3 linked regions of the Nothobranchius furzeri genome follow. Each later gene encodes a partner of the first gene's protein in a complex. Links are inferred from orthologs where the notes say so. Each region holds a gene or a part of one and is shown in the gene's direction. Other genes may lie near its edges.

What was found.
Region 2: timm22 (region 1) and agk share a complex: the UniProt entries of both Homo sapiens proteins name them as parts of the TIM22 complex. The link is inferred for Nothobranchius furzeri from reciprocal best matches to the Homo sapiens genes TIMM22 and AGK.
Region 3: the proteins of timm22 (region 1) and timm9 are in contact, whole or in part, in a cryo-EM structure (PDB 7CGP), measured with the Homo sapiens proteins. The link is inferred for Nothobranchius furzeri from reciprocal best matches to the Homo sapiens genes TIMM22 and TIMM9. Residues at the interface, in NP_037469.2 of Homo sapiens: Asp35, Arg37, Gln38, Pro39, Arg40, Leu42, Gly45, Ser46, Leu47, Gly49, Ile50, Ser52, Pro53, Lys60; in NP_001291414.1 of Homo sapiens: Gln13, Glu16, Phe17, Thr20, Leu57, Thr60, Gln61, Met65, Phe67, His71, Gln74, Asn75, Leu78, Lys81.

Annotation. Positions count from the first base shown.
Region 1 is NC_091750.1:52,842,340-52,852,553, forward strand, and holds timm22 (mitochondrial import inner membrane translocase subunit Tim22), read left to right. Parts: upstream 1-4,999; 5' UTR 5,000-5,014; coding exon 5,015-5,273; intron 5,274-6,357; coding exon 6,358-6,554; intron 6,555-7,861; coding exon 7,862-7,934; intron 7,935-8,025; coding exon 8,026-8,102; 3' UTR 8,103-8,415; downstream 8,416-10,214. UniProt on the Homo sapiens protein: Essential core component of the TIM22 complex, a complex that mediates the import and insertion of multi-pass transmembrane proteins into the mitochondrial inner membrane. In the TIM22 complex, it constitutes the voltage-activated and signal-gated channel.
Region 2 is NC_091744.1:88,192,325-88,202,538, reverse strand, and holds agk (acylglycerol kinase, mitochondrial), read left to right. Parts: upstream 1-4,832; 5' UTR 4,833-5,335; coding exon 5,336-5,445; intron 5,446-5,517; coding exon 5,518-5,557; intron 5,558-5,654; coding exon 5,655-5,734; intron 5,735-5,820; coding exon 5,821-5,896; intron 5,897-5,966; coding exon 5,967-6,092; intron 6,093-6,194; coding exon 6,195-6,289; intron 6,290-6,411; coding exon 6,412-6,481; intron 6,482-6,606; coding exon 6,607-6,686; intron 6,687-6,767; coding exon 6,768-6,825; intron 6,826-7,086; coding exon 7,087-7,234; intron 7,235-7,321; coding exon 7,322-7,419; intron 7,420-7,505; coding exon 7,506-7,576; intron 7,577-7,679; coding exon 7,680-7,764; intron 7,765-7,844; coding exon 7,845-8,003; 3' UTR 8,004-8,678; downstream 8,679-10,214. Other genes in the region: nuclear pore complex protein Nup205, read right to left, coding at 111-293, 375-580, 863-1,013, 1,109-1,246, 1,376-1,492, 1,576-1,751, 2,374-2,538, 2,674-2,902 and 4 more. UniProt on the Homo sapiens protein: Lipid kinase that can phosphorylate both monoacylglycerol and diacylglycerol to form lysophosphatidic acid (LPA) and phosphatidic acid (PA), respectively. Does not phosphorylate sphingosine. Phosphorylates ceramide.
Region 3 is NC_091758.1:18,277,252-18,287,465, reverse strand, and holds the start of timm9 (mitochondrial import inner membrane translocase subunit Tim9), read left to right. Parts: upstream 1-5,584; 5' UTR 5,585-5,725; intron 5,726-8,234; 5' UTR 8,235-8,244; coding exon 8,245-8,283; intron 8,284-10,214. Other genes in the region: kiaa0586 (protein TALPID3), read right to left, coding at 1-40, 131-209, 1,440-1,545. UniProt on the Homo sapiens protein: Mitochondrial intermembrane chaperone that participates in the import and insertion of multi-pass transmembrane proteins into the mitochondrial inner membrane.

The DNA of each region.
Region 1 (10,214 bases):
ACAGCTGCAAACGCATCCAGAAGAAACAGACGCTTGGAGCCATCCTCCACGAACAAACCTGTCAGTGAAAATCAGTTATAGAAGATATTTCAGGACAAGAAAAAGATTTCCATCCTCAGAAATGTTTGCGGAGGCTGTGAACCATCTGTGCCGTTGCAAAAAAAAAAAAAAAAACATTAAAATTTGTGGCAGCCTGAGTTTGTCAGAGGTTGAGATTATTCCCCTAACCGATTGATCAATCACCCTCACTTTCTTAGTTTAGCAAAAAAATAAAAATAAAAAATACTCTAAACTAATGACATCAGATACTTAAGGACACTTTCTAAAAACTAAAAGCTTTCATTTTCATTTTCTTCCGAGACAATACAAAATATATCGTCAAAGCCCCAAGATTGAGATTGTGCATACAAGCAGCTTAAATGAGTTTTCTCTGCAGGGTGTCCCTTAGAGGTAGGGTGAGAAGATCAGTCATCTGAGAGGGGCGCAGAGTAGATCTGCTGTTCCTCCACAACAAGAGGACCCAATTGAGGTGGCTCAGGCATCTGCTTAGGATGCTTCCTGGACGTCTCTCTGGTGAGGTATTACAGGAGGAGACTTAAAGGAAGACCCAGGACACAACGGAGGGACTGTTTCTTATGTGGCCTGGGAACACCTTGGGATTCCCCCAGAGGAGTTGGCCCTCTTACTACCCCCAATGACCCGACCCCCAGATAAGCAAAGGAAAATGGATGGATGGATCTTCAAAGGCAATTCTTATTTTAAGAAAACTTATTTTTGGCATAAACACAAATAGTTGTTTTGCAGAGATGAACATTCATCTGCTTTTAAATATATTTATAATATATTTGATAATATTTAAACACATTAAACTGTATTTTTTAAATGTATCCTTCACATTGCAACAGATTTCATGTTTCATTCAAATTGAAATTGAAATATTTAAAATAAATAACAAACTTATAAAATAACTTAAAAAAACATTTAAATAAAAAATATAATAAATCAATTAAATAAAACAAATGAATGTATTTAATAAATCAGATTTAGATTAGGTAATTTAAATTATTACTTTACTTAAATTAAATGATAAGTTAAAGTAAATAAATTTCAGGGTTACTGTGGTAAAATAAATATAAATATGTAGCCAATAGCGCAACAGTAAATAACCTCAAAATTATATTTATATAACCATAAATATATATATATATAATAAATAAATATAAATATACAAAACTAAAGATATATATATATATATATATATATATATATATATATATATATATATATATATATATATATATATATCATTCTAAGGGTATGTGGAGTGACAAAATGGCGTTGAATGTGTTTATGAATCTCCTAATCAAAGCTTAGCTCAAGACATCACCTTCATTCCCACCAGAACTAATCGTTTCTTCGGATTTGCTGGTTCTGAACACATTCAACACTACACCATTCTCCGTTTCATTCATCTTAGTTACACCATACATTTAGTGTTTAAGTTAAGTCTAGTTTTAATTTGTTTAGTAATAAATCTTTAAACTTTTAAAACTTGACTCTCTCCTCTGTTGTCTCTGAATTAATGCGAAGTGGTTACATAATCCCTGCAATAAAAAGTTCGAATCTTCGGGTCAAAAAGTACCCACAGATCCATAAGGTTGATTTCATATTTACTATGGAATCGTATGTCTTATGGCTCATTAAATAACATGTAAATTAAACCATTATAAGTGTTTTAAAAAACAAAAACAAATTGAGTATTTTTTTAAACAACACATCAATTTAGCTCATGTCAATGGTCATCTAATCAGCCAAACAATTCATCATAGTCAGGTTCCTTTAGGAGCATTTTCCCCTGTTCAATAGGAGAGATTTAAGCGGCACCTGATGCAGAATGAGTCAGACTGACAACTTAAGTGTTAAATTAGGTCAGAAAGTCATTACTATGATACAAACAGAAGACGACTCATCAGAGTAGTATTGTGTTTTTGACCAATCAGACTAAAGATGCACAGGATCAGTCCAAATGTGGTTACCTCACCCCATCCTGATTCAGCTCATCCACTGATAACACTAAGAAGGTAAAGGAGTTCCTTCTGCTCTCTCTGCTGTTTTCAGGACATCAGATATTTCTAAGAGTCTGGCTCCATATTGGAATGGGACCTTGAATTCCAGTTACAGTGATATTCTGTCACACACACATTCCTTTCATTGAGGAGAGCAGAAATTTTCTATCTACCACCAAATGCCATTCCACATCACACAACTGGACCCAGGTACTCTCCACTTAGCCAGTGTGTACAACCAAAACAAACATGGAGTCATAAGAGATCAGTAATTGGTTAATTTTAAAATCATGACAGAAAAAAAAATCGCAGCGGTATCGTAGACAGTATTAAAGACCTCTAAACCAGAGATAACGTTTCAATTGTTTTGTCAACTCCCCCTTCTAGTTACTCGCATATTGCAGCTTGCAAGCGCGTTGCGTTAATTTTAGAAGACTTGCACAATCTACGCTTAAAAAAAAGAAGCTAATTACACAAGGCAGCCACAATAAACACGCGTACACCACATGATTAAATTCAAGGATATTCCAGCCCTAATACCAACAGCCAAACATGGTGGCGGTATAGTGTGATGGTCTGAGGCTGCTTTGCTGCTTCAGGACCTGGATCACTTTCTGTAAATACTTGGAAAAAATGTAGCCATTGATCTTAAACAGATGTGAAAAGGACCCCCCACCCCCACCTCTTAATGTGTCTGCATTAAATCAATCCTACAGACAAATGAGCCACATGTCCTTTATGAAAGACCAATGATCACAAACGCTTGACTGCAGTTGTTGCTCCCAAGATGGGGAAATCAGTTCTAGAGTCTAGTGGGCCATTCCCATCTGTACCGGGTCGGCCCGGGCCGGGTAGCGTAGGTTGTTTACATATCTGGGTGGCCTGGTATTTTTCCGGGCCAACCAAGGCTCATTCTCAGCCCTCTTCTCGAGGGGGTCTGCTTCAGGCCGACCAGGGCCAACACACCCACTGCTGACAGCAAATTCACACCTTCCATTAGAGCAAGCCTCTGATTGGTGGGTAGAATCAGCCCACATGGGCTTAAGGCAAGGATGTGTGGAATCAACCGGGCCAGGCTGGGGCCGACTGGGGCTACCCGGCCCGGGCCGACCCGGTACAGATGGGAATGGCCCATAGGGTCCTTTCTCCCTATTAATGCACAAAATCATCATTTGAAACTGCATTTGTTGTAAATCTGGTCATCTTTGACAGAAATCAACATTTGAGTGCATCAAAACAAACAAACAAACCCCAACACACAAATAATATATGTAACATTCACTATCAGTGTTTGATGTAATGACAGGTAACGCTGAAGGCTGCGTGGCGGGAGTAGAATCACTTTTTGTTGCTTAGTCAGGACAGCTTGTCTTAATGACGCATTTAAGGACCTATTAAAGACAGAAACTATAAAATGTTAGCCACACTAACCACAGCACCTTGTTTCGCCACATCACAACGAAACTGCTCTACTTGGGAAGAATTGGCAGCCTGAACATGGCACACACCAGGTTTACATCAAACCTAACACAGCACATCTAATCTCATCAGTTATTAAAATCTAAAAGTGAAGTCTGCCTGAATAAAAGCTTTTTAAAGAAAACTTAAAAGATTTTAAAGTTTTAATTTGACTAAAATCTTTAGTGAACTTTTAACCTGGTAACGATGTTATATAATAAAACTGTGAACTCTAAAATAAACATAAAAATATCGCAGCAGAAATATAAGAAGTTCTACACTCTTTTATCAGAATCTTGCAATAATAAAACCACTTCCTTGAGGCACTTAGGCTTCGCACATAAAGAAACTTAAATTTGAATCGATTAGGTTGGATTAGATCAAACATCAAGTATTATGATAATTATCTGTAATCATGTAAAATTGAAAATAATCCCCTGGAGGTGCATATTTAAAACACTTTCTGTTGCTGAACATCACATGTTCTGTTTTAGTGAAAGCTGCACTGTGTCCTTGGGCAAATTCAGTGAAAGCTTCTGTAAAAACAGAGACGTGTCTGCGTCATAATTATCCAGGAAGTCCACTAATTAAGTAGAAACGTTAACGACGTAAACAAGCAAGCTGTCGACAGTCACTTTGGCTAAATCAACTCATCCCGACCAACTCCGGCCGCTTCCTCCATCGAGACAACACAAGCAGCATTGAAATTAAAGTAATGTGCTTCACGTCAACAAACTACAAAGAGGAAGTGTGGTAAAATAATAGAAATACACGAGTCTGTAGCCGGTAGCTCTACCTCACCTGTTCGCTAATGCGGCAGTCTTGATGTTGTGTGAAGATGCTGCTGCCGACTCGGCGAGTCATTGAAGTGTCACCATCTGCCTGTTGTGGAGCCAGTAGGTGGAGCGCTGCGCGCGTGCGGGCGCTTTGCACCAAAGTTCGAATGGAATTGTGGGAAATGTAGTCATGTAGTTGATGCACGGTTACACCAAATTACTATTGGTTTAAAATTGTGTTGTGTGTTATTATGTTTTTATTTTATTTATTTAACCTTTATTTATTCAGGTAAATTGTTTGAGAACTACTTCTCATTTACAAACATGACCTGGCGAACAGACTGCATACATAACAGAAATGGACATTTATGAAGTTATTATTGAAAACGTCAACAGTATACCTTTATATACATTTTAACGGAATCTTCCAATTAAAATTTAATGTTTGTGGTAACAATTAAAAGAAATAAATAAATAAAACTTGTGGACTCAGTTTTTAATTTAACGATTTGCAAAAAAATATCTTTTTCATTAAGTAAGATGTACTAGTCATAAATGTTACTTTTGGTGTTGCTAAACGTGTTAGATACATATTTATTCATTTAAACCATGATTCAAACGAAATATAATCACTTCCGCTCGCGGAGTAATGTGACGAATCAACAGACGCGTGGTTTTGGACTACACTTACCTAAAGCGGTGCCATTGAGAAATATGGCCGCGTCCACTGGTGGAACTAACGCTGCCTCTTTGGGCTCAAACAGCCCAGTTTCAGCCGATTCCACAATGGATAGTTCAACAATTCAGTACAGTATGGTTCTGGAACATCTTATAGGTGAAAAAAGGCAAATTAAAGACTTGAGCCCCGGTGTTATGGGGGGACTGCCGACGCCTCCGAAAAGCAACGAGCAGAAGATGATAGAGAAGGGCATGGAGAGCTGCGCCTTCAAGTCCATCCTGGCTTGTGTGGGAGGTAAACAACTACACATAAAATCGAGCTCAAACGTACAGTTTTCTTACGTTTAAGCTGATCACAATATTGTACAACTTTTTTTGAAGTTTTTTTCTATAGAAGCCATTTTTAGAATTAGAAATATTCAAACCTTTACCTCTCAGCTGGTTTTGATATGAATATCTATCTAATGGAATACAATAGACTTTCAGCAGCACATACACTTAGAGAAAAGGAAGAATATATATAATAAGGTTACAGGTAAACATACAAAGGAAACGAGCTATTATTGTAACCTTTAACCACTTAAAACAACGAATAAAAAGAAAACCTGGGTTTCCAGAACTGTGCAGCATAAGGGATACAGACATAATAATGTACATCAGGTATTGCACATTCACACATACTGAATATTGCATTTATGTTATTGTGTAACAGGATAATGCCAGTACCAGTTAAACGGTGGAGTTATACACTCTTACCGCAGAGGGGACGAACAACCCCCGGTAACGTTCTGTTTTATATCTTGAACGTCTCAGCCTTTCACTGCAGGAGCTGTCCATGGCCTCCACAGTGGAATGCAGTGGGTGGGAAGGGTTTTCCAAGATGGAGGTCATCTTCGCCAGCATCCTCCTTTCACACATTTTCTTAGTTGAATCTAGTTAGCAACCCAGAACGAAGCTAGCTTGTTAAGTCTCTTCCTGTCTCGATCAGAGCTGCCTGCACCCCAACAGACCATAGCAGAGGGGATCACAGAGCCAACAATAGAGCGATAAGGGAATGAACACCAAAGGACCTCAGCCTCCTCAGGAAGTGGAGGCGGTTTTGGCCCTTCTTATACAGAGCATCGGTGTTGTTGGAGCAGTTCAGTTCAGGTGAACACCCAGGTACTTAAAGGTATTTAAGGGATCACCACAGAGTGGTATGCTAAGGTTTTGCATTGTTGATTTTACACAATTTCCCACATTAGTCTTGTTTATTTGGGTTTTTATTGATACCCAATTATCTCCTAGCTCAAAGCTGTGCTATTTGTGTATGTTATTTATCCTAACGACAGTAAATGTTTGTACTTTCTAAACTGGATACTGATGCTTTATCTTTCCAGGGTTTGTCCTCGGTGGAGCATTTGGTGTTTTCACAGCTGGGATCGATACCAATGTTGGCTTTGACCCCAAAGACCCTCTGAGAACTCCAACAGCTCGAGAAGTCCTTAAAGACATGGGTCAGAGAGGGATGTCTTACGCCAAGAACTTTGCCATCGTTGGTGCCATGTTCTCCTGTACAGAGTGCATCATTGAATCAGTAAGTCACAGACATTATTCAGACTAACACTCATTTTATTGGCATTCAGTCACATAATAAACACTTAAAATCATATTGTGGTACAGAGGAAAACCCAGGGAATACTATGTTTCTCAACCTTGTCTTGGCTGAGGCTGCTTATGTCTGAAGGAAGGATGGTGAAGAGCTCAAGACAAAGGGATAAACCAGTTAAAAAACATTTATGATGTACCAAAATGTCAAAAAATATTACTGAAACTCTGGAAACCTTTGTTTATAAAACTTTTCCAGAGGCTGAACACTAGTGGGTTGATAAAACTAAATAAACATGTGCATAATACACATCCCAACCTTTCCAAAAACCTTTTATGTTGTAAGATTTTATTTATTTTTCCTTATAAAAAGAGATTTGTTTGTTTTGCTGTTTTCTAATACATCATTCACAGGTCTTACAGCGCCCTCTGCTGTTGAATATGTGAAAAACCAAATTATTAATAATAATAATAATAATAATAATAATAAAGCCCTTTATTGTCCCTCATTGGGGAAATTCTGGTGCACCAAGAGCAAAGTTACAAGTAAGTTAAGAAGAGAACAGATACACACACACACACACACACACACACATACTCACTCACTCACTCACTCACTCACTCACACACACACACACACACACACACACACACACACACACACACACACACACACACACACACACACACACACATATTCTGATGTCAGAATTGTGTGTACTGAAACTCTAACTTCCCTCTGGGATTAATAAAGTATTTTTGAATTTGAATTGAATAATATATATATATATATATATATATATATATATATATATATATATATATATATATATATATATATAGATAGATAGATAGATAGATAGATTGTAAATTATTTACAACAAGGATGTAGTAATGACACAAAAGTATTATATAAGATGTTATAATAGCAGCATGAGACTAGAGATGGAATAATGTACAATCATCCAATGTTGGACTCAGATTCTGTGTCACGGAGGCAAAACCTGAAAAGGGGTTATTGCTTCGATCAGTGTGCAAATAACAGCAGACAAATAACAAGAAAAACACTTAAGCAGGCTGTTGGGAGCAGTGTTGGTTATAAAGTCCAACAGCTGCTGGGAGGAAGGACCTGCGAGAACGCTCCTTTCTGCATTGAGGATGCAGCAGCCTGTCACTGAAGGAGCATAACTGGCATCATGCTGGTTCAAATGACCACTGGGGCCTCTCATCTGTTTCTGAGTGGTTTTTTGTGCCTCAAAAGCACAAGTACCTAACAGTTTTGTGTTTTATTTGCAGCACAGAGGCAAATCCGACTGGAAAAATGCAGTATACAGTGGTTGTGTAACTGGAGGAGCCATAGGATTTCGTGGTTTGTAGCCTGCTTTTGGGATATTTCATGCTGAAACTTGCTGTATTCATTTGAAAGTATTGTGAAATCTTTTGATCATATTTCTTTGCAGCTGGCCTGAAAGCTGGGGTCCTTGGATGTGGAGGCTTTGCTGCATTCTCTGCTGCCATCGAGTATTACCTACGATGAAAGCTGAAAAGGCAGCTTTAAGGACAAGGACTTTAATCACGAGGGCTCTTGTTGTGAGAGACCAAATGTACATAGAAGACATTAATGAGTGTTGTGAAAGAGATGCTGTTCACGGTGGACTGAAGTAAAGACTCCTTGTCTTTGTTTTATTTGGATAATCTCCAGATGCTGAACAGCCTGGATCAGATTGTGCTTCCAAGTCACCATGACAACCTCCACCTGGACAGCTACAGCTCTGAGTGGAGAACATCTGTATAATTTAGCAGAAATAAACCAGAATTTTTTTTATATTAAAGACCCACTCTAATGAAAATTGTGCATTTTTCTTATGCTTCAGGACATATCTAAAGAAATTTAAGTTCATAATTGCATTTCTGAGTATTTCTGCATTCAAATCACTGTGATTCAGTAACAGACAAAAAATTCAGTCTAATATTTACTGGCATTGTTACATCACAAAGCCACTGGGCAGACCTCAAACTCTTTAATGAGCTACTGCCACTATGTTGAAACTAAGTACTAGAAAATGGCGCAGGTTTTATGATTTTGGCTAAAAAAAAAACTTCCGTCCTTATCTGCAGGCAGCAGGGGACGATGTCCCCCTCTGCCGCTTACGACATCCTCATCAATGACCATGTCCAGTGTAAAAACTCCTTCCCTGTTTGTTGTCATGGGTCCACGTCTCCGTGTCGCTATCATATCCTTAATCCATCTTCTGTACTTCAGTTGTTCTGCGTTTGTGACGGTGATGCCATCCACACCGGCCCAAACCCAAAAACATTTAGGCAGTAAGAGAAACACCAATTTAATAACAAAACTGCTAAACTTTTCCCAAAACATATGTGAAAGAACAGAGTCAAAGAAAGATGCAATATATTTTGGCCGAGCGGGATTGCAGCATTTAACAAACTACTAACTTAAACAGCGACGTGATGCTGAGGATGGCTGATGCTGTTCCTGCAGGAGATGCGGTGCCCCGTTCAGCAAATATGTCAGTCCATAAAAAATCACAGCCAGGAGGAAAATTGGAACAAAAATGTGTTAAAACTAGAAAAATAAACGAAAATCAGATTTGTTCTAACATATTGAAGAGCTTGTGGCCGGCGTGCTCTAGTGATGTTCACCCTGAAGTGGAAAGCGGTCTATATGTGCTGCGTCCGTCATTGCTCCCTCAGCTGAACGTGTTTCTGGCTGGAAAAGAAGCACAGCTTCAGGGGGGAGTGGGGGGAGAGATGTGAGGTCTGAAGGGGAAAAGAATAAAAACGATGAGGGTTGTAATGGTGCCATCAGCTCATTCTTTGGCATTAGTGGTGTAGTGTTCAGGAACATAGCCATCAGCCTGTGGGCCCTGCCTGCTTTCCACCAGCTTCTCCTCAGAGGTGTTTTCCCTTCAGACACCGAGCCAATTAAATTACTAAGAAGTAGGCTGGAAAAACTCCTTTCTCCCTACAGAGTCTCTGTAGCAACAGAGGAGAGAAGCCTGCAGTTGACAGTAGAGCTACTGGGTATGGTTGGTGAGGTTTTTCAAAGCAGTGTAGCTGATAGTTGCCATGTCACCATCACTGTTTCTCTGAACCTGGACCTCCTCACCGTGCTCCTGTTTTCACTCCCTGACTGGCGTTTGCTTTGGTCTCACGAGCCACGTTTCATAAGACAGTGTTCACATGGCCCACCTCCCGGGACTCCCTTCTGTCCTTTTTCTCTGCACCCAGAGCCTTTCAAAAGTCAAAGTCATTTATTGTCATTTCTACCACATGTGCAAGACATACAGAGAAATGAAATTGAGTTTCAGTACACACAATTCAGAGATCAGACATACATGGGCAAGATACATGACAAGAATTGGTGACTGCGGTCATTGGCAACACGAGTCCCGCTACCTTACCTCAGCTTCGATATCAGTTTCTGGACTGGACCATCGTGGGAGGAGAAGAAGTTCTACGCAGCGATCCGAGAGGCCAGCTTAGGGACGGTGGAGCAGGTTCAACTCATGGACACGTTCTCACATCCTGACCTGAGCCAGACCAGTTACTGTTACAGACTCACCTACCACTCACACACACACACTCTGTCACACACACACACAAGCTCTGACGTTCCACAAACACCTGG
Region 2 (10,214 bases), on another chromosome or scaffold:
GTGTGTGTGTGTGTGTGTGTGTGTGTGTGTGTGTGTGTGTGTGTGTGTGTGTTTCATCTCAGGGCTCCAGGAACCGTTTTCCATCCCTGTGGAAGACGGTTCGGTTCTACCTGGGTGTACTCCAGCGACTGCCACAGGGAAGCGGCGATCTCTGGTGACTTCCCGAAGGCTGCCAGGGACCGAAGGAGCTCAGCTTTTAAAACGGGTGGAATGCTGCACTGCAGCAGCCCCAACATCACCACCACCGGGGTCCACTGGGGATGTTCACACAAGGCCAGACGAGCATTCTCACTCTGAGAGAAAAACATAATAAGAGTTTTTAAACTTTGCTTTTATGTTAGCTTTTAAAAATATGACCACATGTTGTACGGTACCCAGGAAATGATGGTGGTGAGTAACTGCAGAAAGGAAGTCAGCCCTTCAAGCTCTCTCTGTGTGATGCCCCTGAGAGGCGGGTGGCGGTAGTGGGAGGAGTCTGCATTAGGGAGATCCCGTCGCAGGTTTTCGTGGTAAAGCATGAGGGAGTGGAAAAAATGCTCCCAGGACACCGGGCTGCCCGACACTCCTTGGATGTTGTCGCCTACAGCAGAGTAGGGTTAGGGTTAGCAGACATTCACAAGGATTTTTAGCTTTAGCAACAGCAGCGCCCAGAGTCTGCTAACCTCAAACCCGTTTAGCCATTCTTCACGCGTTTAAGAGCAAGCGGTTTCAGGACGATTATCGGACTAAAGTCGCCTAAACTCATTTTAATAAATCATAAAAATGATTATTTTATTGTAAAAATGGACCTTTTGGATTTCTACTAAATAACTGTTCCTCTAAATACTGTGATGTGTTTACATGAAGAACAGTTCATTCTTACTGTGTGTAGCTCCGTTTGTTTTAAGAAGACTGAAGCAGTAATGAGCGCACTGTGGACCATTAGCGAGGCCTTTCAGCATGCAGAGATAAGAAAGGTACAGGGTGGAGGGCAGGAGGTCTCCCATCTGACGCACAAACTTGGACAGAACCACCTGCATTTGAAAACAACAACACTTTACAAAGAAAGTCACACAAAAGTGCGTCATGGTGCAGCTGTCTCGAATTCTGTAGGTCAGGAAAGTTCAACCTGTTTATGAGGAGGCCGCTGCAGGGCCATTCCCAGGTAGGACCCCTGCAGCGAGGTGTGTTGGAGAGACTCTGTGGGACACCAGAACTCCAAACCCAGCTCCAAGCCAAACGGATCGTTACTGTAAAACTCCCCGATCTGAAACCACACACAGCAAACACAACAAGCTTAAACTCCAAACGCAAACAACAGAAAGGTTTCACTTCTTGCATCTTTGCTGCAGCTCCTTAAGTCTATCCTCAACACTTGCTAGATAAGACGACTGACCAGAACCATGAGATGATCTAAATCCTTCCGCAACGATGACGGGAGTTCACCGTCCATCTGTAGGGACATGTGCACCAGGCGGGCATCCTCGTCGGCTCGATTACGAAGCTGCTTCACCTGCAGTTTAAAGCGATTGTTAAAGCATGATTCAAACCTCCGTGATGACAACAATCTATGATGTCACTGTTGAAACCTCTAACCTTCACTGGCATGAGGGCCAGGAAGTCTGTGATGAGTGAATGGAGGCGGCGGATATAAAACTCTTCCTGGACAAAACCCTCACATCCCAACATTCCTTCCTTCATAAAGAGGAAGACGTCTCCTAGCAGAGCCTGATCAGCCAGAGACTCGTCTGCTTCGGTGAACTCAACGAGGCCTGCAGACACACACATTCAAATTAAACCCAAAACAAGCTCTGGGTGCAGGTGGACTGTATTTGCATAGCGCCTTCTAGGGTTCTGCAACCCCCCAAGGTGCTTCACAACACAATCAGTCATTCACCCGTTCACACGCTGGCGGGGATGAGCTACGATGTAGCCACAGCTGCCCTGGGGCGCACTGACAGAGGCGCCACCGGTCCCTCCGACCACCACCAGCAGGCAACGTGGGTTAAGTGTCTTGCCCAAGGACTAGGGCTGGACGATGTGGCCTAAAGTCAGTATCAGGATTTCACCTCGATAACGATGAATGGACGATGACTACAGGTATGCGCAGAAACTAAAGTTGTCCACAAGGTGGGGCTCAAGGCAACACAGCTTCTTAAAGGGACACGAATGCTGCCAGTCAACACACATCTTTTCATTTTTTTATTATCACATTTATTGACGTGGGAAAAATGATCACGAGTCACAATCTTTGATAACGATAATTTTTGGATTTACAGCCCAGCCCTACCGAGGACAACAGCAGAATTCTCTGGTCAGAGCCGACTTCGAACCCGACTACTGGACAAGCCGCTCTACCTCCTGAGCTACTGCTGTAAGAAGTATAAAACTTACCTGAGCCTTGTGGCAGCTGTGAAAGGACTCTCAGAGACAGAGCCCAAGCCAGTCGACACACAGCCTGCAGCCCTGGAAGCTTCCATGGTTGTCCGTCCATTAGACGAGTGTGCACCGCAGACACATACTGCCGCTCTGTGAGCAATGGCAGTGCCTGGAGAAGATCTGGAAGGGAAAAGGTCAAATCTGTCAATTTCTGTCAAAATATCCTGGCAAAACATCAGCAGGCATCTTCATAAGAACTCTAACTAAAGGACTTCAAGTATCTTCAACAAAATGAAGCATTTGACATGAACTCACCTTCTCGATCTTCAGTTCCCTGCTCTATAAAGCTGACGTCCAAGCAGTACAGCAGCGCCATAACTAGAGCCAGGCTCACACTGTCCAATGAACCATCAGCTTGAGCTGTAACTGTCTCCAAATGACCAATAAGAGCCAAGGTGTCATCTTTAGTCAAGGGTGACTGACAAGTCCAACAAAACAAGCTGTCTGCTAGTGCCTGTCGACATTCTCTGATCAAGTCAGAGACCTGGTGACAAAAGTGGGAAGAAAATTGCGTTTGGCATTATTTCCTCAAATAAGCTTCGACTTAAGATAAAATAAGATCAATTTAATACTTGCTCCTACCTCCTTCCTGTGCTTTTCATTGCCCAAACCACGCTCTTTCTGCAGACGTTCAAACTCCTGTGTCACATTTATTTCTGACACCAAGGCAAGGATGCGTTTTGTTAGTCCTCGACTCATCAACTCATCTGTAAAGCGTGTTGTCAAAGCCACCAGCTCGTCACTGAGCGAGGAGGCAAAAAACAGTACACAAGTTAAAGAAACATTTTTCCTTCTTGCTGACAAAACAATTCCATCAGATGGGCCTTTGAAAGAACCCATCACTTTGTAAAATTACCAATATTTAAAATTGTTACTTTAAATCCAGGGTGAAGGTCTTGCCATGCCGTGACTGAATGAGTGTGCGCAGAGAGTTGGCCACACAAAGCCTTCCATCCCAGTAGAGCAAGACAGCCACTAGGCCTCGTGTCAGGCCTGGAAAATGGGGCTGTTGTTGTTGACCTGGTGGAACAAAAAAGTACACTCTGTTAATTATTTCATGACTGCCTTCATCTTTCCTTCCAAATCACACACTTGATTAAAAAAATAATATTTAGTAACAGGTAATGTGACTGTTTCTGCATTTCTACCAAAATTATGCAGTCACAAATTTCCCTTCAAAAATGTAACTTATAAGCTGGTTTTTAAGAGATCACTCTACCTGCCAAGAGAAGCTCCAAAGCTGCTAACTCTCCAATGTCAAACAGATCACTGAGGATAAAGGCCTCCGTCAGGAGCGTCTCTGGAAGAAGACGTGAACCCTGATGTCCTTGAATGGCGATGCCTTCTGTGCTGGCCTTGCGTACTTTTTCCCTCTGCTCTGCACTCTTTGGCTAAAAATATTGGGAAAATCATGTGTTTGAAAAAGCTATGTCTCAATATAAATCTATACATTGGGTAACAACAACAAATGTAAAGGTTAAAAGAACATTTCTCAAACATTTAATTTGAATAACTTCAACAAGAGAGCTGTTATCTCACCACATTCTTAAAGAGTGACATAAAATGTGGTTTGTGTTTCTTCAGTTGCAGATCCAGAAGGTGGACAGTTTCTGGCTGTCTCTTCAGTATAGCTCCATCTACTGTCTCCCATAGCTCCTTCAGTGGCCCCCACAGACTGGCTCCTGAACGAATTAGTTTATAATATATGCAGGCAAAAAACATGGATTTCTGCGTGCAAGTTTCTTATAACCGTACTCGTTCGCAACATTAGACAGACAGACAGACAGATAGCCTAGCCTTGCAAAAGTGATGAAATTACTTTCACATAAAATGCGCAAAAAATCTACACGATGAGTTAACGCGCGCACTCACAATGGTAGCATATTAATGTGACCAACATCATTTATTTACTCCTCACTGACGAAAACAATCATCAACTTTTGTAGTTTCAGTTTTATTTCCAAGTAGTGGGCAAATACGTCAACTGAACCCGCTAACAATTGTAGGGACATATTTATATATGGTTGATATATATATATATAATTTCTAAATGTGCAATTCATATATTTTCGCGTATTTTGTTGTAGAAGTGAGGTCTGGTCAATGTGTCTACAACCAAAACAAGCTAATGCAACGTTTTTCAGCCATGAGTAAGGCTAGGCTAAAGTAGCCTAACAGCCCGTGTCATAACCTAAAAAGATCAACTGTGCAATTAAAACTACTAAATACCAATAAGCTACTCACAAGATTTAACACGTATGTCTTTATACGTGTGTTATGATTCAGGGTATATTGATAAAAAACGTCTCTCAGCATAAAAATGCTCAGAAATAAGAATTATTACCTGAATTTACCGCCATCGGCGCCGCCATGATCCACACAGACCGTTTTGGACAGCAGCTGTTAAGTTATTGCCGGTGTGAAATGCAAAAAATAATAAATACTTTATGAAAAGTTCCAAAATATATTTTCTCAGCTATTAAAAATAAACGTCAAATGTAAAATATAGTCACTTAATAAGTCATAGTAATTTCTTTAAAATGTGGTTTTAGTATAAAATTATCAGGCGAGGTCCTCGAAAGTTGAAGCTACCGGAAGTAAACTTTTCTTGCGTAGCCTGAAAAAATATTTGAGAAATAATTTAAATTTACTTAATGGTTGATTTTCTTTCTTCAAATAATATGATATGTTTATTTAGTTCAACACTAGATTTTTGCTAAAACATATTACCCATTACATTCTCCGTCAGAAAGGTCAGAAATAGTTCCGCCTTGTTTTGCTCCGTACTCTTTAAACGTAACACCACTATTTCCATGCAGCATTATTCTGTGACCGCTCTGGTAGAAATTTGTGATTTTCAGTTATTTGTTCCACTATAAATTCTGTACATTAATAAGACAGGGGTCTCTGAAGTGTTATGGCTCGGGTAGTAAAAGTGTTTCGGACTCTTCGAAATCACTGGAAAAAATCAACATTAGCTGTGTGCGTCCTTTCTTATGGTGGATATTGGCTGTATGGTAAACACTGGTGAGTTTATTAGATTTTTTTACTCGCATTAAGTTTGTTTGCCACTCAAAAATCTTGTACCTTGTATTTTAGTGAAAGCGTTGTGCGCAGAGAGGCTTGTCAAATTGCCAGGGTAAAGTATAACTTCATTTTTTATTGCCCTCAAAACAATTAGAATCAAAATAGCAGTTTACTTCATTTTAATTGTAATTCTAAGTATCATTACTTAGGAATTTGGACGTCAGCAAATAGCACCACACGAAGGTCTGAAAAAAGCAACAGTGATTTTGAATCCTGCAGCATCTAATGGGTAAAAACTTATAAAAGTCACATATCTGTATTATCAGCACAGTCTTTCCCAAAACAAACACTTTCCCTTTCCCCAAATGTTTTCAGGAAAGCCAACAGCTTGTTTGAAAAGAATGCTGCCCCCATTTTACACCTGGCTGGAGTGGAAATTACAGTAGTCAAGGTATAAATAAATGAACCATTGATCATAAGGATTGGCATAAACCGAGTGTTACACCAGTCTTTTTCCACAGACAGACTATGAAGGTCAAGCAAAGAAACTGTTGGAGCTCATGGAACTGACAGACATGTTGATCGTGGCTGGAGGAGATGGGACGTTACAGGAGGTCGTCACAGGTTTACTGCGAAGACCGGATCAAGCAAGTGTAGCATAATTCTGGTTATCTGTTATGTTGTGTTACACCTTTATTAAAAGCTATTATCAAGTAGAAAGTGCACAACAGGTTTATTTTTGACAACAGGAAACCTTCAGTAACACACCAATCGGATTCATTCCTCTGGGTTCTAATAATTCCTTAAGTCCAAGTCTTCATTTTCTCAGTGACGACAAAGTCAAGTAAGTAATACGAGTAAAAAAGCCTGAATAGCTGAGACAAGTATGTGATATCATGTATTTATGGCCTTTCGTTTGACGAATGGATTTCCTTGTGTGAGTTTTACATTGTGTTGAATATTCAGGAATATCACATCAGCCACACTGTCCATTCTGAAAGGAGAAACGGTTCCTCTGGATGTGCTACAAATCAAAGTAAGAGATGGTTTACACAGAATAGCATAACAATCATGTCTCCGATGCCGATTTCAGGGGTTCATTAACTATACAAGTGTACCGAAGTCATATGATGGATGTGTTGCATTTGTGTTTGTCTGCAGGGAGAGAAAGAGCAGCCCGTCTTTGCTCTGGTTGGATTGCGTTGGGGTGCTTTTAGAGATGTAGCTGCAAGAATTAGCAAGTAAATTCACCCAGATGGTGACAAAGATTGTGTATTTCATATTTGATGAGACCGTCTTACAGTTGTATTTGGCCCACACAGATATTGGTATCTTGGACCACTGAAGGCAAATGCAGCACACTGGCTTCACACTCTGAAGGTGAGAAAGATCCTGCAGGCTAATCTGCACAAAGGAATATAAACTTGATTTTGCAATGTCATCTCACTGGTGTAGCTTTTCTTTTAATGTACATGTGTAAAGTCAATGTTTTGGTTATTTTCTAAGGAAATATGTCAGTTTTTCAGTATTTTTCTGATCATCGGAGCACTGAATCACTATTTCACATATTGTAGATGAGCCTTAGATATTTTATGTTCCTGTAAATCATAAACTTGGGTAATTTTCATAAATATTGTCTAGGAGTGGCCTCTGGTCCGAGACGTGTCCATTTTCTATCTGGCTCCCACGCCGCGGCCCCCTGACCTGCCCTCTCAGAAGCCCGCCAGGCCGAACCTGCTTCGCCGCATCGTCTGCAGACTGAAGAACTACTGGAACCCGCCGGTTAAAGGTGAGTGTTTGTTACTATTCTGAAAGTCCAGCACTAGAACACAACAATCTTATTTTAATCTTTGTTTTTGGTCTTTTCTTTGCTCAGAACCTCCTAAAGTGGAAGAGCCAGAGAAGTGGGAAGAGCAGCAGCTGTCTACATTGGAGCTTTATATTCAAACCCACAACAAAAACCCAGTGGAGCGGGTCAGTGATCTTCAAAAGCCTTGCTGCTACATACTCTGTTTACCATCAGATCTCATCTTTGTCCATGTGTTTGTTTGTATTTGTAGCGCATAAACGACTCTCTGTTGATCTGCGCGGAGCCCAACAACTTCACCGTTGGCGAGTTCATCGCTGCAGGGTCACTAGCTCCTCTTTGATTATTCTTTTATGCTTCAGAGGCCTTAAAATCAGTTAAATGTTTGCTTTTACTTGCATTAAAGTTAGTGCTGTCTTTCTCCTAGGAGTAAGAAGCAAAAAGACCCAACTGTATTCACAGAAAACCACATGGAGCTGGAAGCAAGTGCTTGCCGGATAAAGCTGCCAGAGGTGAGGAATCCTTGTTGTAGTTTCAAAGTCAGCATGTGAGTTTTAGTGTGAAGGTGGATTTCTGTGTGATGCCTCTGCAGGGAGCCTCTGGCTTCTACAGTATTGATAATGAGGAGTATGAGGCCATGCCTGTAGAGATCAGTCTGTTGCCAAGGAAACTACGCTTCTTCATCAGCACCGAGCGCAGAGAGCAGCTCCGCACACAGCCGCAGCGACGACAGAAACAACCAGAAGATTAAAACAGCAGGATGAAAGAAATCATAATAAACTATTTAAATTTAAACTTTTTCTCCCTTTACGACTTTAAAATTACAAATGAAGGTAATAAGAGGAGTTTTTTTTAACTAGTATAAACAGTCTATTATGTTTCCGGATGCTTTATGCTATCAGACGACATGTGTACTAGTTTTCTTGGTGGCATCGTTGCGTTCTGCACGGTCAAGAGCAAACATGCAAACTCCCTCATTTACTTTGGATAAACATTTAGAGTCTTTTCAGCCAGTATCCCTGGATGACTTAGTTAAGTTGGTGGACGTAATTAAACCGAGTGGATCTCCTGAAGACATCACACCACCACGGCTGTTTAAGGAAGTCTTTCATGGAATAGCACCATTAATATTGAAAGTTATTAATAGCAGTTTGGCCTCTGGCTATGTCCCAATTGATTTTAAAAAGATGGTTATTAACCCACTGTTAAAGAGATCGGAGTTAGATGGTATGCAGCCTTGCAATTACCGGCCGATTGCAAAGCTCCCTCTTCTGAGTGAAATTCTGGAAAAAAGTGTCTATACTCAGTTAATGGATTTCCTAGAAGAGTCTAACATTAAGGAAACTTTTCAGTCTGACTTTAAAGCTTTTCATAGTATGGAAACGGCACTGATAAAGGTATTAAATGACATTATGTTGGAAACTGATAGGGGAAATCCTGTGCTACTTGTTTTGTTGGACCTTACAGCTGCGTTCGACACTGTGGACCACGAAGTGTTGCTCCATCGTTTGGAGTATAATGTCAGAATCTCTGGTCTGGCCTTAGACTGGTTCGGATCTTATTTGAAGGATAGGGCTGTAAGTGTAAGGATGGGTGGGTTTATTTCTGGATTCACACACATGCAGTGGGGGGGGTCCCACAGGGTTCAATATTAGGACCACTACTGTTTTTGATTTACATATTGCCACTGGGGGACATGAGGAAGTATGGAATTCGATTTCATATGTATGCTGACGATTGCCAACTTTACTTACCCTTGGATTATAGAAGCGACTGTGCCATTGTTACCTTAATGCACGGTCTAACTGAAGTAAAGTCATGGTTGACGGACAATTTTTATGTCTGAATGAAAGCAAAACTGAGGCGGTGCTGTTTGGGTTACATCGTGATTTAGAGCGATCAAAACTGGATTGTAGGGATATGAATGCCTACCTACGTTCTTCGGCAGTCAACTTAGGAGTGACATTAGATAACGCTTTCACCTTTGACGCACATGTGGGTGCGGTTGTATCGTCCTGTTTTTACCACTTGCGACGTCTGGCCAAAGTGAAGTCATTTTTAATTAGAAAGGACCTCGAAACTGTTGTGCATGCGTTTATCACCTCTTACTGTAACTCTGTCTTAATTGGGGTGAGACAGAGTACAGTAGCTCGTCTGCTGCTTGTGCAAAACGCCGCGGCAAGATTCCTAGAAGGGAAAAGGAAATATGATCATGGGACACCCATCCTGGTTACCGGTCGTTTTTAGAGTGCGTTTAAAAATTATTTTATTGGTTTTTAAGGCATTGAATGAGATGGCACCAGAATTTTTATGACTTGCTACAGCCATATATACCTAGTCGTTTGCTCCGCTCAGAGAGTCACCATATGCTTCTAGTCCCCGCAACTAGGCTCAAAACAATTCAAGTTTATTTATATAGCGCCAAATCACGACAAGTCGTCTCAAGGCACTTCACATAATAAATATTCCAATTCAGGTCAGTTCATTAAGCCAATCAGAAATAATGTTTCCTATATAAGGAACCCAGCAAATTGCATCGAGTCACTGACTAGTGTCAGTGACTCGATGCAATCCTCATACTAAGCAAGCATAAAGCGACGGTGGAGAGGAAAACTCCCTTTTAACAGTATTACGTCCCAGCTCTCTAGGAGAGATGAGGAGGGGAGTAATAAAATTAGTGTGTGGGTAAATAAACAGTGCTGTGTCGCTTAAAAAGAACAAGAATTTTAATACAAAATGAAGGGAGTGTTTACAAAGAACCTAAAGAACAATATTAAATACAAAAACAAAAGGAGCAATATTTAAAAAGGACAAACGAAAAGCACCAACCCAGAAGGGGATGGGGAGAAAACAACTGAGAATATCTGGGGAGATCCTAAATTCCGAGTCAAAAAGCCGTTCCGAAGTCTACAAGCCAAATTATCCAATACAATTTCCAATCCAATATCCAAAACCCTAACGA
Region 3 (10,214 bases), on another chromosome or scaffold:
CTGTGCACTGATCTCCCTCCTGTGAGAAGGACTGTAACAGCTGAGCAGAACAGTAGATTTTATGCACACGTTTCTCACACTCTCAGAAGACCTGAACCTGAAGGTCACTGAACATGAATCATCGCCTCACCATTGTCTCAGCGCTCCCAGACCCGCTCCTCTTCCTCCAGTCCTAAAGCACAGCGTCAACAGCTCCTGCCCTGACGATGCTAATGAAGGAAGCAGAGGACAAATGACGTATAATCCCAAGAATTTAATAAAACCATCAGCATCCACTAGTGGAAACACCTCCTCTATACTTCCAGTTTTATTGCCTTGAAAGAAGGTGTCATCTGCTGGCAAAAAAAATAGAATAACACTGATTTCCAACAGCATTTAGAAAAAAAGGGATGACGGGAGGCCTTGCAGCAAGGAGGTCCTAGACCTTGGTCTCTCTGCAAGGAGTTTGCATGTCCTCCCTGTGCACGCACGGGTTCTCTCCGGGTACTCCGACTTCCTCGCACAGTCCAAAAGCACGACTGTCACGTTGCTTTCTCTAAAATGTCCTTAGGTGTGAATGTGCATGCATGGTTGCTTGTACTGTGTCTTTGCCATGTACTGGCAACCTCCAATGTCTGAAAGCTGATTCAGCACTTTTGTTCATTTTAACCAGTTAGAAGGGAATATTTTAGCCGCCTTCTCTTACTGAAGCTTTTAAAAAATCTTAGATTTTCTTTTTGTCCTCTTGGGAATTTTAATATTAAGGAGGACGTGTAAGAGAAGGAGGCGCTGGATCTATAAGAGTTACTTAATAGAAACACTTCCTCTAAATTCTTCAAAAAACAGGTTTTGTTGCCTCGAAAGGACCCTGCACACGTAGAAATCATCGCCTCCATATTCCTGCTCTTTGACTTGACAAGAAGCTTAACATAACCACTAACAGTGGAAAAGTGCTGGTTTTCCTCCCGGTCTTGTTTGTGTTTGATGATTTTCCATCTCCAGGTGCATCAAAGGAAGTGTAATCCCTGAATCCCACATGGACCCGGCTTTGTTATTGATGCTTGTTTTGGGTTTTCTGAATGAAAACCCTGAAAGTTTGCAGATCCTTTAAAAACACTGAGTGGCTCCTCATTGGAGTCTAAGAAGGTTGGGTGGGTGTTGCATTCTTCGTGGTTTGATATCCACTTGTTATTGCAGATGATAGAAAAGTGCCCAGTGGTATTTTAGTCCAGATGCAGCTCCAGCGCCCTCCTGAGGACAGCCCTTTCATCACAACCCGTTTTTCTGCTTAAGTAAATAAATACAAATGTTCATCATGGATCAAATGTTCATGAAATCTTAATTTAAGTTCTATAAAGTCAAAAGATCAACTTTTACAAGAATCTTGTGTCTATCGCATCTGAGCACGTTTACGGTGTTTGGTTACCATGGAAACTGAGTGATGGATTTTAAGTGCATACCCCGGTCAGAACCGGCCCCGCTGTTTGGGGTCGCTGCCGCTTCTGGAACATTCTCTTTACGTTTGTCAGACCGAGAACCCGCTTCTCCACGCGGAGGGCGCTCCATCCAACCAAGCTGGGGATCCCACTGGTGCGGTACACAGGCTATCCGGGCTGTAGGACGCGTGATCCGGACTAAAAATCGCTGACAACATGGATGTGACCGACAGCTTTATTCATATTTATTCTGTCATCTGTTGCCCGGCGGCTAATTACGTCTCAAACTTCTCGTCTCAGCATCTTTTCACTGAAATAAGAAGCAGGATAGAAAAAGTCAGCGCTAAAAATCAAACTTATAAAGGTCGAGTCACGGAAAACCATTAGGTAATATTAAACCAACAAGATACAGGTAAAAACTCCGAATGTTTAAAGTATAACACCAACCACTATTTGAACTTTCTGCTTCTGCCTTTTTTTTCTACTGATATTTCCGCCTTCTTCTTCTTCGCCTTCTTCATTTGAGGCAGTTGAGCGAGATTTTGGCGCATTACCGCCACCTATTGGAATGATAATTCTATTTTTTATTTTTATTATTATTATTATTTATTTGTTTATTTATTTTTACTTTGTTGAACAAACAAACGTTGTACAAGTAAACTCTCAGAACGTTCAAAAACGAATAAAAGAATTATGGAGTAAAATCAACAAATGAAAATTGAAAAACACAATCATAAAATTATTTAAAAAAATAACACACAATAAAATCTGCTTATAAAATAAAATGAAATGTCTTAAGAGAATTTAAGGTTTTCCAATATTTCTGATTGTTTACATTGCCATAAGCAATAAAAACAAAATAAATATTCAGATCGGATTCTTTGAAGTTAGTAAACGACGGAGATATAATTCTCCATTTTGATTCATGTAGATAGTATTTGGCTAATATAATAAACACATTTTCAACATATATTTCTTCTGTAGATAAAAAAGAACTATGGAAACAAAATAATATATGAATTTTTGTGAGTGTAATGTCTTTACCAATTTTAGTGGTAAGAAGCCCTTGTAAATCCAACCAAAAGCATTCAACAAAAAAATGTCCAATACTTTCACCTTCACTATGACAGAATGAACATTCCTTATTAACATCAGAAACAAAAACAACAAATATAGTCACAAGTCTTTCCAGTCAAGTCTCGAGTCAAGTCCAAGTTAATCACAACCAAGTCGAGTCCAATGTCAATGATGTGGAAGTCCAAGTCCTTAACTTTGAATTTTCAAGTCATCTGTCCAACTTCAATTTAATGACAATGATAATAAATAAATTCCAGAAATAAAGCTTCTTACAGTTTTCCTCAGTTGCTTTGGTGCATTTCTCACAACAGAATTAAACTTTGCACAACAGTTAGTTCAACCTCCACAACATGTAGTCGTTGTGGCACAACCTAGTGGCGGTTTCATGTTCATTTTGTGGCAAATGCCTTTGGACATGAAGCAGTTGAGTAAGTACAAATATCTAAAGAATGGTCACTTTTGACTTGCTATTCATCACTGTCTCCTTGCTTTTATCATGAATGTCACAATTATTTATACTTGTACCGGCTGAATAGTCATTGTCCTTACAACTAATAGTCTTCATTTCATTGCTTGTGTCATTGCACTAAAAACTGTTGAACATCTTGTCGAACAATCTGTACACCCATTTTGAAAACCCTATTTTTAAGGAATTTCCATGGAAATCTCCATAAATGACATTTCTCAGGTGAACTTTATCTCATACTAATGAAAATTGGTGTGTGTCCTGGTGACAATCGGACAATGTATGTAGTGGTTTGGGATAATGCTAGCTTCTATCACTCTGCTGTAGTCAGGCAGTGGTTTGCAGCACACGACATGATGCTTATGGAGTTTCTTCCTCCTTACACTCCATTCCTAAATCCAATTGAGGAGTTTTTCCTCTTCCTGGAGGTGGAAGGTATATGACAGGCATCCACATGCCCAAATGACCCTGCTAGCAGCCATGGATGCAGCTTGTGATGACATCACAGCAGAGTGCTGCAGAGGGTGGATTCGACACTCCAGAAGTTACTTTCCCCGATGCATCGATAGAGCTGACATTCCCTGTGATGTTGATGAAAATATGTGGGCAGACAGACGGGAGCATCTAGATATCAATTATTGATTTGCAGCTGTGTCTGTTCAGTTTTTTTTTTTGTTTCATAACTACTGCAGTAAGGTTTACTGTCTGAGTGAGTTTATGTTTGCTGTAAAATGTTTGTTTTACTTTATTTACCCAGTTGCACAAGGCTGTGAACAGTTTCGGTCAAATATTACAGTTTTTCTCAGTCGCTTTGGTGCGTTTCTCAGATCAGAATTAAAATTCTCATAACTATTAGTTCAACCTCCACAACATTTAGTCATTTGTGCACGTCATAGTTGCAATTTCTCCTTTCTCTGAACAAACTGCAAATGATTTTGGACATGAATCAGTTGCTTTCATACATTTCTCTGCTGTTTTTTGACATTTCCATTTGCTTATGTCATGTCAGTCAAAATTAATTATACTTATGGATGCTGAATAGTCACTCTCAATAAAACTAATAGTCTTACTTTCATTACTTGAGTCATTACACACAAAATTGTTGAACTAGTTATCAAATGTCAAATATTAGTAATCTGTCAAGCAAATTCTATACCTTTCTTCATCATTTTTTCCTGGAAATGTCTCCTAAATTGAACAATTGATCACAGGTGAATTTCAGCTGTCACTCATGAGGAGGTGAATCCTCCATTGGCAAGCATATGTGAACTGAGCAGGAGCTAGTGTGTACCATTTCTACACTTCTGTGACACAAAATGGAAGGTCAGCATCGTGGAAGAGGGGTGAGGATGCGGGGAGGAAGGGGAAGGGGAAGGGGGAGAAGAGGCAGATATAAGCACATTCCTAATGAAATTAGGGCTACAATTGTGGGCCATGTTGTCAATCACGGCCTCACCATGGAGGAGGCTGGTCGAAGGGTGCAACCCAATATTGGAAGAACTACTGTCAGTTCAGTCATTCAAACATTCCGTAGGGAAAACAGGTATGCATACAGTAATTTACTGTACTGTACTGTCCCATCTCATACATATCTCATGTTACTGTACTGTATTTTCAATTTTACTGTAATTTTACTCTGCACCACATAGGATTGAAAGACAACCTCGCGGAGGTGGAAGAGGGCCCCTTTTTACTCCACAGCAAGATGAAGCCATTTGTGCAATGGTCATTGCAAACAATGCAATAAAGTTGAGAGAAATGCAAAGCACTGTCTTAGAGAATAACACGGTATTTGGCAATATTGAATCTGTTTCCATTTCAACAATCGACAGAGTTCTCAAAAAAAAAAATGAAATCCGCATGAAGCAATTGTATAAAGTGGCATTCGAATGAAACTGTGAAAGGGTGAAGGAGATCCGTCACCAGTATGTGCAGGTAAAGCAGGTCTTCTATGTTCAGCACTGTAAACTGCTTTACAGTACTTTGTAGTTTCGTGCAGTACACTAGCAATTCTACAAAACATACTCTACAATGTGTTTTACCAAGAATGAACATGAACATGAAACTGCCACTAGGTTGTGCCAAAACGACTACATGTTGTGGAGGTTGAACTAACTGTTGTGCAAAGTTTAATTCTGTTGTGAGAAATGCACCAAAGCAACTGAGAAAAACTGTAAACAAAGTGCTGGTGCATTTAGCAGAACAAGATCAAACCCAGAACCAAGCATTATTTATGATTTTTTTCGGTGTCGTGCTACTTTTGTGCTAAAATATTCGTTTTTCTCAGTTGCTTAGATAGATAGATAGATAGATAGATAGATAGATAGATAGATAGATAGATAGATAGATAGATAGATAGATAGATAGATAGATACCATTTTCTTTTTATAAATAAAACAAATGGCTGAGTACAGCTGTCCTGCCTAATGCCTTTTATCTGGCATTGTACCCTCCAGCTCGTTAGGGGGCGAAAATGGTTTACCTCAACAACCCTAACACATTTAAGTCGACACTTTCGTTACAATTTGTCTCAAATTGTACACTTTAGGATCTGAGCATTGTAAGTATAAAAACAGGAACAAAAATAAATAAATAAATAAAATTTACCTGCTCAACCGAAGAGTTAAAATCATATTTGTGCATGAATTAATTAATTTAGGTTGTATCGAATCTGCTGCTGTTATCTTTTTCTGTTCAGGGCGATGGTTCAGGGTTGTTTCGACATTGCACACGGTGGAGAAGCCGTAGCATATCACCCACTCAGCAGGTAAGGTTTAAACACACCAGCGTGACTTACGCATTAAATGTGTAGAAATACAAAGTTACGAGCGTGTCCTGGACTGAGGCCTACAAATAAATATATGGGGGTGTTTAGCTTAGAGACAGGAAACACGTCTGACATGCGTCCTTGGTTTATCCCGGTTTATCCGCGTTGTTGATCAAAAACAAATTATCAACGAACTGTAGCTGGTGGGATTAGGGCTCATAACACCAATTTAAGGGTGATCACTTTTCATCAGCTTTAGTTCACGCTAGACCGTGCAGACCCGGACGAGGTTATAACTACTCTATTACCACAAGCTCCGCTAATATAGCTGAGCTAATGGTTTATATAACCTTTATTTTACGTTTATTAGAACCACATCTCTCTCTCATATACATACTCACTGGCCACTTTATATATATATATATATATATATATATATATATATATATATATATATATATATATATATATATATATATATACTCACTGGCCACTTTATTGAGTACACTGCTAATTAACACAAATTATTATCAGCCAATCACATGGTGGCAACTCACTGCATTTAGGCATGTCGACATGGTCAAGACGATCTGCTGCAGTTCAAATCGAGCTTCAGAACAGGGAAGAAAGGAGATTTAAGTGACTCTGAATGTGGCACGGTTGTCATGAAGTTGAAACAGCTCATCTTCTGGGTTTGTCACACACAACCATCTCTAGGGTTTACAGCAGGGGTGTCAAACTCATTTTAGCTCAGGGGGTACATTGCGAGAAATCTAGTCCCAAGTGGGCCGGACCGGTAAATTAAAAACAACTTCAGATTGTTTTCTTTGTTTTAATACAATCAATACAAAACAAGGCTGGAGCCTGAGGACAGTGTATCCAAAATAGTACAAGTACGACACCTGAAGTGTACTTGAAAATTTGAAAAAAAAAAAATCAACAAATAAAAAAACATTCCTTAGTGGTTCAGAGCTTACAGATCACATGGCTAGATCAGTTTCATGCAGCACTTAAAGTATATTTGACTCATTTTACTTTACATCTTTTAACTTTCACCAGAACATCAATATCAGAAGTCACATCCTGAGTGGTGGCCAACTTCAGGATGTGATTCAAGTTCTTGTGTGAGCCTTGAGCGCAGCTTTGTTTTATTTATACTCGCTACAGAGAAAACTTGCTCACAAAGATAAGTTTATTTTCACTCTACATTGTAAAGTATGAAAATAAAGTTTACACAACCATCTTGCGGGCCGGATTTAACCCGCTTGCGGGCTGGATCCGGCCCGTGGGCCGCATATTTGACACCCCTGGTTTACAGGGAATGGTCTGAAAAAGGGAAAACATCCAGTTCTCTGTGCAAAAATGCCTTGATGATGCCAGAGGTCAGAGGAGAATGACCAGACCGGTTCAAGCCGATAGAAAGGCAACAGTAACTAAAATAACCACTCGTTCCAACCAAAATATGCAGAAGAGCAACTCTGAATGCACAACACGTAAAACCTTGAGGCAGATGGGCTGCAGCAGCAGAAGACCACACCGGGTGCCACTCCTGTCAGCTATGAACAAGAAGTGAGGCTACAATTCACACAGGCTCACCAAAATTGGACAACCGAAGATTGGAAAAATGTTTCTTGGTCTGATGAGTCTTTATCTCTTCTGCAACATTCGGATGGTAGGGTCAGAATTTGGAGTTAACAACATGAAAGCATGGGTCCATCCTGCCTTGTATCAACGGTTCAGGCTGGTGGTGGTGGTGTAATGGTGTGGGGGACATTTTCTTGGCACATTTTGGGCCCCTTAGTTCTAATTGATCATTGTTGCAACGCCACAACCTACCCGAGTATTGTTGCTGATCATGTCCATTCCTTTAGGACCAGCTCAGTGGCCTAGTGGCAGAGTGTCCGCCCTGACACTGGGAGATCAGGGTTCGATTCCTGGTCCGGTCATACCAAAGACTTTGAAAAAATGGAACCCAATGCCTCCCTGCTTGACACTCAGCATTAAGGGGTTGGATTGGGGGGTTACACCACCAAATGGTTCCTGAGCACGGCTGTGTCTGCAGCTCACTGCTCCCCCAGGGAATGGGTCAAATTTTGTGTCCATATGGACCAAAATCTAAGGAATGTTTCCAGTACCTTGTCAAATCTATGCCATAAAGGATTAAGGCAGTTCTGAAGGAAAAAAGGGGGTCCAACCCAGTACTAGCAAGGTGTACCCAATAAAGTGGCCTGTGTGTGTGTGTGTGTGTGTGTGTGTGTATATATATATATATATATATATATGTATGTATATATGTGTATATATATGTATATGAATATATGTATGTATATATATATATATATATATATATATATATATATATACATACATATATGTATATATATATATATATGTGTATATGTATATGTATATATGTAAACTCATGTGAAAGAGTAGTCCATAAGTGTATCTGTTTCATAAAGTGGTGACATTTAAAGAGATTCTAATATTCTGTGTGATTCTCCTCCAGAGTGTGAAACATGGCAGCCCAGGTGTCTGAGTCAGACCAGGTTAAACAGGTGAGCTACACATCAGATTCCCTATCTGTTCATATTTAATTGTTATCAGATGACTCTCACTTTGATCACTTAGGCCCTGAACACACGAAGCCGGCTTTTTTATTAAACCCTAAATCCCCCCCCCCCCCCCCCCACGCCCCCATCCGTCTAGGAAATAAACTTGGCTCACACCACTTCGTTTTTAGCAAAAAATTCAATGCAATGAAAAGAACATTCATAGGCACACCAACCCAGTAGTTACTTAAATCTTTGTCATCTTTGCCAAAAAGCATTCTTTTGAATAACGGTTGTGGACAATAACCGTTCTTATGGTCATATTGTCCTGTAGTCTACTTGAGCTGTAATTGAACTTGTAAAAACAAGTGAGTGCAAACACAGGTCACACTCTAAGCATTTTTGTTGCAAAATCTGAGACCCCAGTTTTTTATGTGAACAGGGAGCCTAAGTCACGCCCATGAATGATGCTAAAAACGCAATTTTCTAATTCTGCTTGTTATGTTCCATGGATTTCCCATACGATGTTTGTCAATTTTAAAAACACATTTTGATACCAAGAAAGCACTTATTTTTAAAGGGACTATATGGAAGTTTGACAGCCAAAACATGTATAGAAATAATAAATGTTTTCTTCATAAATTCTCCAGCAATGCCCTGGTCCTGTAGAATGAGCCCTGGCATTTTTACTGTGATTGCCTTTTTCTGTAAAATCACAGAAAAAGAGAGATGCTCGGGTCAAGCAGGCTGCTTCATGCGCGTTCACGCTCAGGCATAGCACGTAGCATTTGCTATCAGTAGCTTTAGCAGCAGAGAGAGAGGCAGTGCCAACTCAGCGACTTTGTCGCTGTTCCTAACGCCTAGTGACAAAGCTAGCTACATTTCTGAGGACCCTTAGCTACTTTCTGTAGAACTTCCTTCTAGATATTTCCTGCAAATTAGCAACAAAATAGCCATTTTCGCTCCGAACCGTTCGTTGGTTTGATGTTGTTTTAGGTGACATCAAGGATATAAAAGTTACAGATACTGTGAATGTTACTAGAGTGTAGCTCACCTTGTAAAATGTCTGACTGCCATGCAGAAGACCTGGGTTTGATTCTGGATGTGAACATAGTTTATTTAGAGTTTCTTTTTTACATTAATGGTATATTTTTTACAGTAAGATGCCCAAATTTTTATTTGAGACTCGCCGAACGGCATTGAATTCACAGATAAAAAAGATGTGGGTTCAACTTTCATTTTGGAACAATTTTTCAAGCAAGGGAAGGGAATGATCTGAGCATGCAGGAGGACTGACCCATCATAAACCTTTGTCGACTGTGCTGAAGAGAAAGGTACAGAACCAAATTATTTAATTAATTAGCTGCGCGTTCTCCTGTCCTCCGGGCCACACACACACACACAGGGCTGTCTCAGCTGTTATTTTCGTTAAGGAGTGTGCACGTACAGCATGCGCGCCTCGTGCACAAGCCTACTATTGAAGCTGCTGTTACGCTTTTGGCCTGAGGGGGCAATCGCGAGCATAAAAATTCAAAAGTCAAGTCCCTTTATACATGTTATTTTAGATTTTGTGTGAAAAGAAGTCCAGGACTACAAATGTGCTTGCACTTCATTGAGCCAGACCCAGAGAAAAACAGAAGGAAAATGCCTGTAAGTTCAGCAAACTTCAAATCTTTCCTTCAGGAGGAAAGAACCATAAATATGGCCGTGTGGCAGCTATGCTAGGGGAGAGGAGATTCTGTGGTGACGTCATATATGCGACGTGCCGATGTAGTCGAGCTAATTACGAACTTTTACAAGCTGATAAATGTCAAAGTACCCGACAGATGTGGTTGAAACACCCATCATTAGTTTTCATGTAAGTTGCAGTACAACATATGTGTGATCCAGGGACTAAGGCAAAGTGGTATTGAAAATAGCTCTTTTAGCCCCGTTGA